Rattus norvegicus: one gene and its partners. The protein of the gene in region 3 purifies or fractionates together with the protein of the main gene of each other region. This does not show direct contact. Links are inferred from orthologs where the notes say so. Each region holds a gene or a part of one and is shown on either strand. Other genes may lie near its edges.

Region 1 (4,294 bases), on a different chromosome or scaffold from region 3:
TATGAATTCAAAGTATTCTCAATTCAACAATGTCCACATCCTAATGGTCCATTACAGCTGGTAGTGGTTACAGTACTGGACACATGTGACCATCTACATCAATTCTGAGTACTTCTGCCTCTTGCTCCAAACAACTTCAATAGAAACAGGCCACTCCTTCCTGGTCCCCTTTGAGAGAAGGAATTCCTATAAGGATAGGAATGTGTCTTTAGTTTGGCAAAGTTGAATGGAGGTATGGCTACAACTTAGCTTGGCCTCACTCTAAGCCCGAGTTCACTGAGTACTTTATTGCTATAGGAAAAACATTAACAAACAAAGATGCAGAGTTTTCTATAGATTACTACAGAATTAGTCTTGTCGTGATTTATATTATGTTTATATATTTACATTATAAGCTCCAAGTTAAATAGTCCTAGTTATCTCACAGACCTTAAGACCTACCCCCAACTTTAACTTTCATTAAAGCCAGGTTAATATGACTGAAACGGGTAAAGAGTTTATCTTTCAAACATACTGTATGGAGAGAGTAAACATGCCACAACACAAAGTTTCTTTCTTGTTTACAACAGTTACGTACTCTTGACCATCATTAAATCCGGAACAATACAGATCCACCTCAGGAATTCTCCACACGTACCTGGATTTGAGAGAACCTTCTATGCCAACCAAAAGGGGCTCTAACAAAACGACGTTGTTTGTGACTCCTGGAAGACAAACCGGTTTTGAAAAAGAAATACCTCCCACCAGATTCATCGGGCCATAAAAGTTAACCAAGTGGGGGCTGTGCCAAAGGCGCTGGCTTAGCTCAGGCTAGGTTCTGTGTTTGAAGCCCAACTCTGGAAAACAAAACCAGGCCTCACTCCCCGCTCGGGTACTAAGCCACATCCCCCATCTGGCTCTGGTCTGCCTTCCTCAGATGCAACCCTCGCCTCACTCACTGGAAAAGGCCAGGGCGCCGAGGAACTTCGATAGGTCCCAGGCGAGGTGCACAGTGTCGCCGAGCACCGCGTAGCAACTCGCGCAATGAAACACCGCACATCTCTCCGGCTTCAACCACGCAGGCAGCCGCAGGTCGACAGGTGACGCCTTCACCTCAGACCCGGAAGACCCGAGAGGGGAGAACCCTTCCACCACCTGAGTGTCCCACTCCATGGAGGAAGAAAAAGGTGTATCACAAGAGCCACTACAGGACTGGGTCTCGACGACAGGGAGACCGCGCGGCGAAAGAGTCGCCATTTTTCGAAACCCGCGCCTGTTTCACGCACGTCCCAGGTCCCGCCCAACTGTTTTGCTGTGCCTTCATTGGACAATATTCCTGTAAGACACGCCCACAATACCCAGTGTCTGCCTATTAGGTTTGCGGAGTAGCTGTCTTCAGCCAGTCACGCTACTGGCCCTCATAGGAAACCCCACCCTCGAGGCAGTTCAACCAATGGGCGTACAGCATTCGTCATTTAAACTGAGTATAAAAGTCTGCTTGTCAACGTCTTGGGTGGCGCCAGTTTTGAACGGTGCTGTTTTGAGTCGTGTGGCTGTTTTTCTGGGTATCACCGTGATTGCAGAACGTGATGACCGTCCCCTCTGCAGAGGAGCTGGACTCCTTCAAGTACAGCGACCTGCAAAATTTAGCCAAAAGACTGGGCCTCCGGGCTAACCTGAGGGTACGGTGCTGACTGGCGGGGCGGGCGGTTGCGGGCGGCTTAGAAGAGGCTCGGGGTTTGGGGAACAGGGCACGAAGTGACTGAGAGGGAGTCCCCGAGGAACGCTGTTTTGGGCGAGTAGGCAGGTTTTGTTCACAGTGACTGGAATTTGTTAAATGAAAGAAAAGCCATGTCTGTTACTTTATTTGGAGGCTTTTCTCAAGAACTCATAAAGGCCTCTTAATGGAAATCCTGGTACCAGATGGGAAACGAAGGCTCATAGGATGTGATCAATGTAATTTTAATTTCTATTCCAGTTATTAGGCAGTTAAAGAAAAACTACTTCAAACTACTACTTACTGTTCAGTAAACCGTGCCAGTACCTTCACTCTCATGAGCTTATAATATGCTTGTCCACCAAGATCTACTATGATCATCGATACAGTAATCACTATTGTGATGGTGGTCTTTTTCAAAACCGAAAAGGTCTTTGAATCCCGAGTTTGCAAGGTACTCAGAGAAAATGTGGTGATTCATTGTGAAATTAGGCTTGCTATATTGGAGCTGAGATTTCCCACATGTATATGCCAGAGATTTGTACAGCAAACTGATATTTTCACTAAATGTCTAATCAGTTGTCACAAGTGTTTTTAAATACTTTAAACAGAATAATGAGGCCATAGATAATACGTTTTATCTGGCTGAATGGCAGTGAAGAGCACTTGGAAGTGTTTCTGAGTTTAGTACTTAATGGCTCCCCAACTTAGTGAATAAAGCTTAGTCTTTCAGGTTTTTACTATCTGGATAGATTCTCCTCCTCCTCCTCCCTTCCCTTCTTCCTTCTCCTCCTCCTCCTTTTTTTTTTTTTCTTTTCTTTTTTTTCGGAGCTGGGGACCGAACCCAGGGCCTTGCGTTTGCAAGCTAGGCAAGCGCTCTACCACTGAGCTAAATCCCCAACCCCCTCCTCCTCCTTTTTATGAAACAAAGTCTCATTGTACTGCCCAGGCTATCCTGGAAAATAGTGTATAGTTTAGAGTAGCCTGAAACTCCCCTTCCTCCTCTGGCCTGACTAATTGTTTATCAACTACACCTGTTGCCTCTAAGCTCATTTGCATCTGAGGTGATCACCACCATCATACCTGAGCAGCCTATCCTACCTCAATTTCGTAGTTTGGGTTTTGCTTCACAGACCCTGACGTGTTCTTTATTTCTAGCTTACTTGGTTTATAAACTCTTTTTCCCACTAGTCCCCTGAGAGCTTCCAGCAGAAGACTTGTCTGCTTTGCTCACCAGTCTTTAGCTCCTAGAACAGTGCCCTGCACAATGTAAGAACAGTTTGTTTATTCAGTCGATGAATTAATGCTAATGAATAACACTTGTACTTCTAGTCAACTTGAGCTTCTCCCCATTTTATTTGACCTGCTAAATGTCTTCATTTGCTTGTACCTCAGAGCCTCACTTCTCAGTACTGCATCCTCGGTGAGATGGTATGTTAAGAAACCATATCCTAGTCAGGCAGTGAGGTGGCTCATTGGACAAAGGTGTTTTATAGCCAAGCCTGGTATTTTGACCCACATACATAGTGGAAGAAGAGAATTAACTGTGCAAAATTGTCCTCTAAACTCCACACCTGCAGGGTGGCACACTCATGCACAGTTGCATGCGTGTGTGCGTGCATGCAGACACACACACACACACACACACACACACACATAAGTAAATAAGAATTTGCATCTAGCTGGGCATGGTGGCACAGGCCTTTAATCCTAGCACTAGGGAAAGAAGGCAGACACAGGTGGATCTCTGTGATTTTGAAGCCAATCTGGTCTACATAGTGAGTTCTAGAACCACCAGGGTCACAAAGTGAGATAGGATTTGGGTTAGGTCCATTGTAGTAAATGAGAGCCATTTTATTAACAAAGTGAGATACAGTTTTGAAACAAGCAAACAAAAGAAAGGAAAAGAAAAGAAGTCGTTTGTAATTTTGGTAAGCCTTACCTATAATCCCAGCATTGGAGAGGCAGAGACAGGAGGATCGTGAATTGAAGGCCCTATGTCAAACAAACAAGATGGCATATGGTTCAGCTTGTCAACCCTGAACTAAACCCTAGATTAGGTAGATCTCTGAGTGTGAGGCCAGCCTGGTCCACATAGTGAGTCATAGACCAGTCAATTCTATATGGTGAAACCCTGTCTTTAAAAGAGAGATCCAGATGACCTATTTGAGAGGGAACTTTGGGTTAGGTCCATTGTAGTAAATGAGAGCCATTTTGTTAACAGTTGTCTCCATGCAGAGGAGTCCAGTACAGTTGAAGCTGTGGCTTGGGCCCACCCTGTACTTAAAGTACAGAGCAGATTTCACACTGGCCATTCATTCACTTCTGGTAAATGATAAATTGTATGAGAAGGAGAGGCAAGCTCTGAGGCTGAGCCTGTAGGCTTTTTCTCTCCCTCAGTGATGCAGATACAGGCCAGATTAGACCAGATTAAAAGTAGACAAAGGCAGATTTATTAGGAGGCAGATTTCAGGTGGTCTCGCTGATCTCACAGTGGAGGAGTCAGTGAGGAACTGGGATTGTATCCATGCATGGTCAAAAACTGGCTGGGGACCAGGTGGTTGCTGGAGACTAGGAGTGTTACCCCAAAATCGTCTC
Region 2 (4,193 bases), on a different chromosome or scaffold from region 3:
TTCCTCAGCTCCGCCCCTCTAACTCCTGGCCGTCTAGGATACTATTTTCATTGTTTTCATCTTTTTCTGAGACTATTCTTTTTCATTTATTCAGTTCCTTTCTTTATGGCCCAAACCACTTTGGGCAAATTGTAAGAATGATCTCTTTTCTCTAGGTGACTGGTGAAATATTTTTTTAATGATTTTTTTTTTTTTTGGTCCTTTTTTTCGGAGCTGGGGACCGAACCCAGGGCCTTGCGCTTCCTAGGCAAGCGCTCTACCACTGAGCTAAATCCCCAACCCCATGATTTTTTATTTATATGAGTACACTGTCACTGTCTTCAGACACACCAGAGGAGGACATCGGATCCCATTACAGATGGTTGTGAGCCACCATGTGGTTGCTGGGATTTGAACTCAGGACCTCTGGAAGAGCGGTCAGGGCTCTTCACCGCTGAGCCGTCTCTCCAGACCCTTTCCTCTCAAAGGTACTTAAACTTAGAAAAGATTCTTAACTTACTTGTTTTGGAGCTGGCATTTTCTAGAGTGAGGTCTTGAGACATCTCATGTATATTAACAAGGTCTCTACCTTCCAGTGGGACGTTGACGTCCCTCAAACCAAAGTGTCTGTTTCGCTCATACACCCGGTGCCTGTTTTCCTTCTGAGACAGCGACTTCCTGTGAGCCAAGCTAGTCCTAATCATCTCGATGCTCGAATCTTTCCGAAGCCGACCAGCAAACCGTGACACCGGCATCCTGCCACAAAGGAGGGACAAACACCAACTTAAGTGGAATTTCATTTTATCATTATCAGGTTTCGGCAGCTCATTACTATACCACCAACAAACCCCAGCGAGCAAATCGTGTGAACTCGAGGTCAGCCTGGGCTAAAGAGTAAGATACTCTCTCAAAGAGCAAAATAAGTAAACTAATAAAATCAAGACCAGTCCGTCTCCTATCCCACTTCTGCGTTTCCTTGAAATGAAACCATTACAATGGACACCGGAACTAATATGAGTACATATGAAAGAAGAAAAGTTATCACAGATGAGATACCGTGGCCTATTTGGCGGGTCATGAGTAGGGAGCTGCTCAACAGATTAAAATGAAGCAGAGAAAAACTATACAATATACACAAGAGGCACATGTAAGTGAAAACAGCTACATTGCAGAACAAACCCTTAGCTCCCCCTGGTGGTATAAAAGAACCTTGGCATTTCAACTTCAAAAGCCACAATGGTCTGGGGAGCTGGCTCAGTCATTAAGTACCTGCTCTAATACTCATGTAAGGGCTGGCCACAGCACTGCAGTAATGCCAGGCAGACACAGGAAATTCCCTGGGGTGGTTCTGCCAGCAAGCCTAACTCAACCAAGGAGCTCCAGCTTTAGTGAAAACCTCTGTCTCAAGAAAATATGGAAGATGAAGAGAGGGATAAGGAGAATGAATGTCTGCCCTTGGCCCCCCTCCCCCCCACACACACATGAGAGAGAGAGAGAGAGAGAGAGAGAGAGAGAGAGAGAGAGAGAGCGCGCGCGCGAGCGCGCAGCTGGGAAGCTGACACAGAAAGCTCAATGGAGTCAAAGCCAGATTGGTCTACGCAGTAAGAAACCCACCTATATCCTTCATTCCAGCATCACCCCACTGTGAGGAAAACACGTCTGTGATTCTAGCCCTTGGCTAAAGCTAGCCTGTTAAATTAAACACAGGGAGACCATAACGGGAAAACCAAAACAAGAGGGCGTGCTCCCAGTCAGTCTCAGCTCCAGAGGAGGATGGCGAGAGCTCCGTTAAAACCTCGTTTTAATCCTCTCCCCACCAAAACAAAACAACGACAAACACAACTACCAGAAAAAGAGTTTAAGAAGAACTTGGTAATACGGTTGTCTTAGATAGGGTGTCGATTGTTGCAAGGAAACACCAGGAGCAAAAAGCAAGTTGGGGAGGAAAGGGTTTACTCAGCTCACACTTGTATGTTGCTGTCCATCATCAGAGGAAGTCAGGACTCAAGCAGGGCCGGAACTTGGAGGAAGGAGCTGATGCAGAGGCCATAGAAGAGCGCTTGGTACTGGACCTCCAGCCCAGGGATGGCTCCCATCCACAATGTACTGGGCCCTCCCTCATTAACCACTATTTGAGACGATCCCTTACAGCTGGACCTCATGGAGGTATTTCCTCAACTGAGGCTCTGATGACTCTTAACTTGTGTCATGGTGATGGTCAAATGTACCTCTCACGTCAGTTCCCTGTCTGCGCTCTCACCTTACTCCCCGGTATTTTAAAACACTTCAAGCTTTTGCCTTTCTCTAAGATTATCAGTTTAATACTCTCAGGAAGTTAAAGAGAAATGACAGCCAGGAAAAGCAGAATCCACTGCCACTTCTGGGCTCTTTTGAGAGGTTCTAGCATCCAGGTCGGGTAGATTCTCGTCTCTAATACTTTATTAAATCTACTACGTTTTTCATGCCAATTCTTTTCCCAAAGGCTTTTTTTGTCGTTTATGTGTGTTTATGTTTATCTCTGTGTGTGGGTAAATGCATACTGGCGTCCAGAGGAAGGTGTCACACCTCTTGACGCTAGAGCTACAAGGAGTTTGTGAGCTGCCTAATGTGGGATGCTGGGAAAGCTAACTGTGCAAAAACAAGTGCTCCTAACTGTTGAGCCATCTCTTCTAAGCCATCTTTAAATTTTTTGGAGACAGAGTCTCATGTAACCCAGGCCACTCTCGAGCTGGCAGGTAGCCACGGAGGACCTTGAACTCTTGATCCCACTTACCTGAAGCAGTTTCTGGATCCACAACAATGCGGCTACACAGAAAACTCCACAGATCCGCAGAAGGAACCCCCGAACCGACCCTCCGCCGAACTGAAACTTCCCGCTGCCAGCCGCTGATTGGAGGGACCTCAGCCAACACTTCCGGAAGCTCCCGCCCCTTCCCCTCGAACGAAGCTTGCGATAGGTTGGTTCCGTGCGACATTTAAATTGTTTGGAAGGCAAAGGGTTGGGAGGGGGAGGCCGAGGAGTGAGGCGGTAAACCGGCTGGGCGGGGAGGCGAGGCACCAAGCGCGGTGGGGCGGGCCTGAGGGACAGAGAACTCCTCTTTCCCGGCCTCCTGGCCGTTTTTTCTTCTTTCCTCTTAAACTTTTTTTTTTTTATTTTATTATTATTTTTTTTTTAGACACGGTCTCACTATATCGTTCTGCCTGTCTGGGAACTCACTATGTAAACCAGGCTGGCCTCGAACTCACATAGATCCTCCTGCCTGTCTCAGAGTGCTGGGATTAAAGGCGTGAGCAAGCATGCTCAAAAAAAGAAAAAAAAAAGGTTTTAAGTAAGGTTAAATGAGATAATTTATTCCTTTTCTGCTTCCCTCTGACAGCAAAATTAACAGCTGCGTTAGAAATCAATCGAGAGGGGTTGGGGATTTAGCTCAGTGGTAGAGTGCTTGCCTAGCAAGCTGCAAGGCCCTGGGTCCTCAGCTCCGGGGGAAAAAAAAAAAAATCAATGGAGAAACAACAACGCACCCATAGACCAAGGCACTTATCCCATGAGATACCAAGAAAATAAAAAAGCCTGGGTCAGTACAGCTATGCTGAGCTTGTGTTTGTAGATTAATGGGTATCAGGTAGACGCTGGGAAGATAAATTAGGAAAACATTTTTAAGTTTGGCTTTTGCTTTTCCCTGCCAACCTCTTGGGACAGAGTACCATGTGCCTGCAACTCTAGCAGCGACGAGACCTCTAGGACATGCAAAGAGAAAGATGAAAATAGATCACTGACATAATATTTATGGTTATGTTAGATCAGAGGGGGGGAAAGCACGGATTTCACGACTAACTGATTGAAGCAAGCTGTATCTAGAACTGGCCAGCCAGGTGCACCTACCCAAGTCCAGATTCCAGAGAGCAGCCCCTCACTGGCGTTTGAGGTGCCTTTTATGGGAAAGGGTTAGGGTTGCTGGAAAACAGCTGTGGAGATAATTGGCTGTTAGCACCTGTAGCACCTGGACAGGAGAGTGGGCGACTGGGGTTCAAGGCTGCCAGTAGGGTAGATAAACGCAGGAACACAACCTGAAGAGGCGGAGTCACCACAGGTGTTCAGGAATTTAGCCAGGCAGAGGGGTGGGCGCACATCATGGGGTCGGGAGTTCAGCAAAAGTTGAAAAACATGATGTGCAGGAAACAGACCTGTACTTGTAAGGTGTAAGGGACTTAAG
Region 3 (4,130 bases):
GCCCAACCCACTGCACCAGACACCTACAGCCACAGAGACGTTAGTGAAAATACATTCTTACACCCAGGTAACGTTTGGGTCTCAGAAGGCTATCACATGCAAATGACCAGCGTCTTCCCTTAAACCATATGATATCAAGGATTTGACAGTCACTTACATAGTTCTTGACTTCCCGCCGAGCATTAGCATCAATAGCAAGCCACCTCTGCTGGTACTGTGCCTTGATATCTGGATCCTTCGATGTCAAAGAGTTCTTAATTTGTAGACCAGCTGCAACTCTGGCAACCTGACTGTTTCCGGGATTTGCCAGCACTCTGGACAGTTCCACAAGGAACGTGGGCTGTGGAGAAGACACATTTATAAGTCTATCAGCAATTTCCACTTGCTTGCAAAGCCCTAGAGAAGAAACACAAAATTTAGATCAAAGTATCTCGGAAAACTGGAAAATCTCTTTTTGAATTGGTACCTGCATAAACTCAACACTGAAAAGGTTTCCTCCGGTTCAACAAAAAAAAGTTAAGGCCTGACTAGGCAACATAAGCCACTTCAAGGACAAGTCCTATAAAACCTCACCTGCTATGTGAAGAGACAGATTCTTCCTATCAAGAACATGTTTTGAGCCCAAGTCTTATAAATAGCTCCGCAGAATTAAAGCCAAATTGACACCTGGTAATGTGTTATCCTAGTGACAAGTTTCTTCAAGCAGGTACAAGAAAGCCCAATGCTGCAAAACTGCTGAATGAAAAGAATACTTAAAAGTATACTTTAGAAAAAGGTCTTGCCCAAAAATAATAATCAGGACAGCCCTCTGATCTCATATAAGTCACCTTTTCTAACACATACGCACATACATGAAAGTATAACACAGATATAAGATCTAGTCCTCTGGGTTTTAGCTCTGAATGTTCACCAAAAGGGATTTGTAAGTCAAAGTGTTAACTAGTATTCAGAAATTGAAAGAACACGACAATGTGAATGACACATGAGTTGTCGAGAAAAGTCGTTTTTGTTTAGTAGCAGGACATACCAGGAGCCTATCCTGTTTTGGACCTACTGTCAACTAACAATGAATCCTCCCAAAACCTATGTTTTGAAATACAGGTCCAAAAGCCACTCATCTAAAACTTGTAACACATTTCTTCCTCTTCCAGAGCATACATACAGAGGAACACGCACAAAGGGTGGGGCAGTTGGGTGGGGAAATCTGCCCAATCAGGAAAGTTATAAAGGCCCAAAGTAGACACATTTTTTTAGTGTTAGCAAACCAAACACAGGAGATAATTCTCAATGCAAGCAAACTCTACAAGCTCAGAAGATAATTCTCCAAGTTTTACTCTGTGACACTGAGTGTTAGGTGCAGGAAAAAGGGCTTCTAGCACACTAGCAAAGCAAAACCAAGAATATACTATGAGCAGAATTCTCAGTCCACACCAACAAAGAACTGCTTGAAAGGTTGTGAGTTAAACATAAAAACGTCAATACAAAGTCACTTACTACTCTTTCAAAAAGAAAAGTGGTCCGTACATAATAAAATAGGATTTGTGGCTTTATGCATGTTACTATTTTGCCAAGCATCACAAAGGACTACATTTGGTTACAATGTCCTTTTGACTTTTTAAAACTTACTACCTTAAAGAGACTTTTAATACCACCCACCCTTCCCTCCTTTCCCCTCCCCCACTTCCCCTTCCCCCCAAAGGAAGGGAGAAACATTCTGGCAATAGATTGCTTCAATAATCGTATATTTTCCTATACAAAGGTCAGTCTTTTTTTAAAATGTACTTCTTAAATCCAAAATTATAAAATCAGGGTTTTATATTTCATCCACTGATTTCATCAGGGAATAGGCTCAATCTCAGAAATAAGACTCAATCTGAGATCCCTATAGATGAGGTCTCTGAATAATCCAAGTTCACACAGAACACACGTGCACACTGAGGCCAGGAATGGGATAATAGGGCAAGAAAGGGAAAAAACTGAGGCAATGGGTTCAGAGGTGGTCGGGTGCCAGGCGTGGCCATGAGCACAGACCAAGGGAGCTAGGAAAGGATAGGGCTCTAGGAAGTAGTTGCAGACAGCAACAGAGCCATGGGACAGGAAGGAGAAGCCGGCCGCAGCCAGTACAAGACAGGCGGCAGGGCGCAGAGCTTCCACATGGCCCCTAGGCCCGGCTCCCCAACCCCCACCCTTGCTGAACACGCAGCGCCATGCAACCTAACTTCCCTTCCCTCCCTCTTTCTCCCTCCCGCTGCACCGCCGCCCTCAGGTCGCGTGACGATTGGACAGCGATCACCCCGGCGCGTCTCGCCATTGGCTAGACGCAGGGCCCGGGGCGGGACACACCCACCGGCTTCCCGATGGCGGGGTTAGGTTGGGCCGGGCGGGGGGGAAGGGGGACGAGATGGGGCGGGGTGGGTTCCTCAGGCCTGGGCCTCCAGGAGGGCGGGAAGGCCCGCACGCAGGGATGGGGACGCGGCGGGATGGGGCGCGGCGGGGAAGCACGCACCAGATTCTCCACAGCCGCACGCTCAAGGAACTTCTGCGCCGCTTCCAGCTCCAGCCGATCTGCCAGGAGAAATGGGGGAGAGGCAGCGGGGTCAGAGGGGCCACCCCCTCCCCCACCCCAGTCACCTCAGCCCGACCCCCGGCCCCGAGTCCTACCCGGAGACACGGTCTTCTCGAGGATGGTTATGAGCTCCATGGCGGAGGTGACGGCGGCGGGGACTCCTCCCAAGACGACGGCCCGGCCTCTCGGGCGGCGGCTCCAACTGGGGATGGGGGTTGGGGGTCGGGTGGGAAGGGAGGGTGGGGTGGGGGGTGGGGGTCACCACAAGCCCATTCACCGGCCGCCTCTGGGCAGGCGCTCCGGCTCCCCTTCCTCCCTGCTCTCCTTCCTTCCGCCCTCCTAATGTGCTAGGCGGCAGCAGCTGCTCCTCTGGTGGCGGGGGAGGGACCCCGGGGGCAGCTCAGAGCGCGGCTGGTGCTCAGGCGGCGGAGGGAGAAAGGAAGGGCGGCTGTAAGTGAGAGGCGGATCGCAGGGAGGGAGAGAGATTGAGGGAGGGAGGCGGAGGGATATTCCTGCCGGACCTCTCCGCGGCGGCACCGCGCTGCACAGCGATTGGCTACTGCTGGAGCCACGCGGAGTCTCCGATTGGCCAGGAGCCTAGCGTTGAAGAGCCGCCGCGCGCCCATTGGCCTACGTGCTTCAAGGCCCGGTTGGCTGGGCGGGCAGCAGAATAGGGAGTGCTTATTGGCCGAGGGGAGGGGTCCTGGGGTGGGGTAGGTAGGAGCGCGCCGCTGATTGGGTTGGCCTGGGTAAAGGCCTTCGGGCTCAGGCCGGCTGTGCGCGGGGAGGAGGGTGGGCGGAAGGTAAGGCTCCTAGCGCGCCGGATTGGCTGGGATACTGGACGTTGATAGGACGGGGCGCCGGGAAAACTGAGGAGTTCGGGGTCGCCGCGCGTAAAGGCGGGAGGCCCCGGGGCTCTTAAGAGTCTAGCGCAGAGCACGACGGGACGCCTCCGGGGTGGGGCGGAGCTGCGCGCGAGTGGCTGGGACTGCGCTTTACGGAGAGCGGTCACTCGCTGTGGTGTAGGAGAAATGAGGATTTCGCGGGCCTCAGAGGGGGCGGGGAGGGGACCGTTAAAGCCCTGCGCCGCGCCCACAGGAAGCTGCTGTAATGGCGAGGTCCCTTGCTCCCCGCCACTGTGCTGAGCCGGACCGTGAGGACCACGTGGTTCACTTTCCAACCTGCGGATTTGGAAACTGAAGCCCAGAGAGAGCATGGAGCGTGTCCAAGGTCACACAGCGGATTACAGACTGGGTCAGAGCTGGATTTAGGCGAGCCTAATTGCCCGTGGAGCCCCTAGCAGGGCCCTGTGCTGTTAGCAAAGTTTCGCGGAGCCGCGTCCTTAGACCACTTAACAGTTAACCAGAAACCTTTGGTGTTCCGACGTAACTTACAAGATGTGTATAGATTATATAAAGAACATGCGCGTTGACGAGGTGTGGCGACACACCTGCCATCTCAGTATCCCGAATCCTGAACTACAGTTTGAGATACTGTTTTCAATTAAAAAGACAAAATAAAAACCTGGTGCATATAGTTGTTTGACATTCCCTTCCCCTCATTT
Region 4 (4,050 bases), on a different chromosome or scaffold from region 3:
CCACAGCCGGGAGCGTAACATTGGCAGAATGAGAAAGTAGAGCTGGCATACAGCCAAGTGAGGGACCTATCAGGCATAGGGGGCTACAGGTTCAAGCCCCAGCACTACCACAGAGAGGAGAGAATGATAATTCCATGTTCCCAAAGAGAATGTGGCAGGTGACCAGGGAGTGGTGTTGAATTAGAACAGCCCCCATAGGCTCGTAGACTTGACTTCTATCTGTCTTTAGAATGGGTTATAGCTCCCAGCTACTGCTCCAGTGTCATGCATGCCACAATGCTACCCAATGTGATGATAGTGGATTAAACCTGTTCAATAAGACATTTTATACTTCATGTATATCTATCTCAAGGTCACCATAGTCTACAGAGCAAGTTCCAGGGCAACCAACAGCTGTTACACAGAGAAACCCTTCCTTGAAAACCCAAAAAAGGATAGGCTTGGTCATGGTGTCTCTTCACAACAACCAGAACACCAACTAAGACACCGGACCTGTCAAGTCATTCTTTGAGCACATTCTGAATGCCAGACCACAAGCAGACAGTGATTCAGCTGAACAAAGGTCAGAGCCAGATTCCTCCAAATGCCCCTGGGCCTCAGGACTTCCTGCCTATCCGAGGCTTCCTCTGGGCTTGGCCAGCTGCCCATCACTTTCCTTATTTTACCCCCAAACACCCTGATTTATTAACCAATAAGCATACATTACAACTCAGGATAAAATATCAAAGCATTCAGCAAAACACTGTATCGAGCACCATGTAGTGGACACTGTCTGGAATACCAGAACTACAGTAAGGCACATATTCCTTGAAGTTTATTTATATTCCAAAAACCAAAATATTTTACATGTTAATGAAAAAGCCCGTGGAAGCAAGGGAGGGGCAGTTCAGCAGTAGAACTCTTGCCTAGGGTTTGTGAGGGGCTGGTTTCAAGCTCTTACACCACAAGAAATAAAATAATAAAAAAGGCCAGGTGCTGTGGCACACCTATGACCTAGTACTTGGGGAGGCAGGAGGATCAGGAGTTCAACGCCATTTCCAACTACTAAAGGCGCTAAGGCCAGCCTGGGCTACACAAGACCCTGTCTGAAAAATACAAAGAAAAAAAAAAAAATCCCCACACAAAGCAACCAGGAAAGGGGCAAAGAAGGTGGTTTTCGTTTTTGATGGGTTTCTTTTTTTGGGGGGGAGGGGGAGCTGTTTACAGTAGAATGATGATTAAAGGTGTTACCTGTAAAGAAACTAAAGATATGACAGACTGAGCCAAGCAGAAATTGAGGGACGAGCATTCCTACAAAAGGAATACAATATGCAAAGGCTCATGGGATAGAGGAGGAATTGCAAGGCCAGTGGGGCTACGGTTAGAGCAGAGGAGAAAAGACTCAAGTCACAAAAGACATCCTAATTACTGTATAGGATGAGTGACCAGGAGGGTCCCTGGAAGGTTTTTAGCAGCTAAAAGTGCACCAAGCTGCTTTTGACAGGAACAGGGTCCCAGTAAGAGGCCTGATATTTGAGGGCTCAAAAAATGACAACACTGACAGGTATTCTCCTAGGACCAACTAAGCCAGTTCAAGCCAAATTAAAGTATAAAGGCAGGTTTATTGGGGGCAGCTCTCTGGTGGGTTCACCTGTTCCAAGGAAGGGAAGTTGTCTTGCAGACAGGGAGACAGAGAGGTGGGGAAGACAAAGGAAAAATGAGCTCTCATATGCAAGAAGTTAGAAGTGAAGACAGAGGGATGGAGGAGGAGAGTGGGAGAGGACCAAAATGTCTGGATTATACAGTGAAGAGCTTCAGGGGGTAAGAGGCAGCCCAAGCCCTGGGCTGGAAACTTCAAGTAGGGACTAAGGGATGCTGGGAGAATCTGAAGGCCAGGTCAGCTTTGGTAGGTTAAATAGGCACTTCAGCCAGCTGTCACCGGCCAGAAACCCAACAAACACGAAGATGAGTGAAAATCTATCTAGAATTCAGCCACCTCTTACAGTTCTACGATGAGACAATGAGATTTAAAACGGGGTGGCGGTGGTCGGGCTCCATGTAGAAGGGAGGCACAATTTCAGGTCTTGGAACCAGACACACAGACACACACAAGCCCTCCCCCATTCACTTTAAAGAATGACTAACCAAAGCAAAAGAGAAATGGTATTGAGCTATCCAAGGTCAGCAGACAGCTTGCGAGGGATCAGACACAAACGGTCAATACACAAACGCCCTCTCCTCCTGGGCGGCCGCGTGGGAGACGTCCTCAGGTGCACAGCCATCCATCGACCCAGCAAAGCGTCAGCAGTGACTCATGCCAGGCTTCCCGCGCGGACGTGGGCCGACTGGGTAGGCAGCGATGGACTGGGTGGCGCCACCCGGCACGGCAGGCGGCTTCTCACCGCCTACAGGTGAGATGGGTGCCAACGTGAGGCGCCACCGCGGAGAGACAGCTGTGGCTACCGTCCACTCTAGGCCTCAGTTTCTCCAAACGTACAAGGGGTAGCGCCGCCCAGCGCCCCATCCCCCAACGCCGGGCTCAGCGAGATCAAAAGGGGGTAGTCATGAGGCGATCGTTTCGCCCCACCCGGACCCTGGTAGCCAAGCAAGTGACAGGAAGAGCGTGAGGGCCCCGACTCACCTCAAACTAGCGGCGCCGCCGCGTGGGGGGACGGAACGCACGCGTCGGTCACTGCTTGAGAGCCCGCGCGAGGGCCAGGCCGGTCACCGCGCCTCTATACGGCGGTTCCAGTGACCAGTCTGCTCGCCTGTCCTCGCTGCCGCGGCTGCTCGTCTAGCTTGTGCACACCACCTGCTCCACGATCCCCAGCGATTATGGCGGCGGAGGAGGATTTTTGAAAGCCGGCAGTTTCTTTCCTTCGATTTGATTTGTTCAAGCCGGAGCGGCGTTTTGCCGGGCTCGCTTGCGGGGTCTACTGGGAAGGGAAGTCCTGTCCTCCCGCGCAGCCATGGCTGGACGCACAAGATGAACTACAATTCCCATGATGCACAGTGCTCGGAGTTCGCAACCCTCCTCTCCACCCGCCCTCTCGGCTTCTGGCTCTTTCTCTACGGGACTCTGTTGGATGGTATTTGACCGGTGCATCCGCTGACTACAAATCCCGGCAGACCATGCCGAGAGGCAGCCGCACCCTTCCGTAGAGGTTAGCGCTCTCATTCATGCAACTTTATTGACAAAGGCGATACAATGAAAGGCATGTCCCTGGAGCTTATCAGTAGTAATAGGGATCTCCTTGCTAAAAGAAACGACTTAAAAAAAAAAAAAATCTAATTACTCTGAAATTAAAAGGAAATTTCAAAGATTCCTCGATAATTAAAAAAAAATGCAGAAAGTTATTTCTTAGTAGAGACAACCTTCAGGCATCGCCTTAGCTGATTCACATTAACATCAATAACAGAACAAACACAACCACCATAGCCGAGGTGCACCGAGGACGCAGTATGGCTGGCAGTCCGTTCTTCAAATGGATAAAATTAATCAAATGAGAGAGAGAGAGAGAGAGAGAGAGAGAGAGAGAGAGAGAGAGAGAGAGAGAGAGAGAGACGAACCCAAGATCATCTTCCAGATAATTGGTCTCTATTGCTCCAAAATCTTGTGTGCCATGCAAGTTGAAGAATGTTACTGATTAAAGATGATGGAATATGGCTGCTCTGGGGCATAGCTCAGTGACAAGTGTATGCATTGGGTCCATCCCCAGCACTGAAAAATAAACAAATAAATAGGAAAAAGATGTGTTTTAGGCCTGTGTTTCATCTTTCACTGGACAACAGAGATTTCCTATAAAGGACAATATTAAAATAATTAGCAAAATGTGTCTGTATAGTAAATGTTAGTATCAATATTGAGGTTTTTTTTTTTTTATTGTACCGTGGGTTATGTGTGATAGTGTGAACTAAAGTAACAAGAGCAGTTGTTTTACCCTCTTCCTGGAATATATTTCTAAAGTCCTTGGCATACACCCAACCATTGTATGTGGCAAAAATCAGTGAATGCTCGGTGTGTGGGAAAAAAATTCTATATGGAATCATTGTCTATCTGATTGCTGAATG

What was found. Proteins that work in one complex are often made in the same cells at the same time.
Region 1: the proteins of Kpnb1 (region 3) and Nusap1 purify together in Homo sapiens (affinity purification with mass spectrometry; 3 studies listed by BioGRID and IntAct, counting the BioPlex papers as one, with this or other methods). This does not show direct contact. The link is inferred for Rattus norvegicus from reciprocal best matches to the Homo sapiens genes KPNB1 and NUSAP1.
Region 2: the proteins of Kpnb1 (region 3) and Dlgap5 purify together in Homo sapiens (affinity purification with mass spectrometry; 4 studies listed by BioGRID and IntAct, with this or other methods). This does not show direct contact. The link is inferred for Rattus norvegicus from reciprocal best matches to the Homo sapiens genes KPNB1 and DLGAP5.
Region 4: the proteins of Kpnb1 (region 3) and Rangap1 purify together in Homo sapiens (affinity purification with mass spectrometry; 3 studies listed by BioGRID and IntAct, with this or other methods). This does not show direct contact. The link is inferred for Rattus norvegicus from reciprocal best matches to the Homo sapiens genes KPNB1 and RANGAP1.

What each region holds. Positions count from the first base shown.
Region 1 is NC_086021.1:127,055,801-127,060,094, forward strand, and holds the start of Nusap1 (nucleolar and spindle-associated protein 1), read left to right. Parts: upstream 1-1,494; 5' UTR 1,495-1,568; coding exon 1,569-1,661; intron 1,662-4,294. Other genes in the region: Oip5 (protein Mis18-beta), read right to left, coding at 638-704, 939-1,236. UniProt on the Homo sapiens protein: Microtubule-associated protein with the capacity to bundle and stabilize microtubules. May associate with chromosomes and promote the organization of mitotic spindle microtubules around them.
Region 2 is NC_086033.1:23,141,377-23,145,569, forward strand, and holds the start of Dlgap5 (disks large-associated protein 5), read right to left. Parts: upstream 2,801-4,193; 5' UTR 2,753-2,800; intron 736-2,752; 5' UTR 735-735; coding exon 500-734; intron 1-499. UniProt on the Homo sapiens protein: Potential cell cycle regulator that may play a role in carcinogenesis of cancer cells. Mitotic phosphoprotein regulated by the ubiquitin-proteasome pathway.
Region 3 is NC_086028.1:82,668,057-82,672,186, forward strand, and holds the start of Kpnb1 (importin subunit beta-1), read right to left. Parts: upstream 2,801-4,130; 5' UTR 2,702-2,800; coding exon 2,662-2,701; intron 2,566-2,661; coding exon 2,507-2,565; intron 341-2,506; coding exon 158-340; intron 1-157.
Region 4 is NC_086025.1:115,127,765-115,131,814, forward strand, and holds the start of Rangap1 (ran GTPase-activating protein 1), read right to left. Parts: upstream 2,801-4,050; 5' UTR 2,621-2,800; intron 2,552-2,620; exon of another isoform or gene 2,125-2,551; intron 1-2,124. UniProt on the Homo sapiens protein: GTPase activator for RAN. Converts cytoplasmic GTP-bound RAN to GDP-bound RAN, which is essential for RAN-mediated nuclear import and export. Mediates dissociation of cargo from nuclear export complexes containing XPO1, RAN and RANBP2 after nuclear export.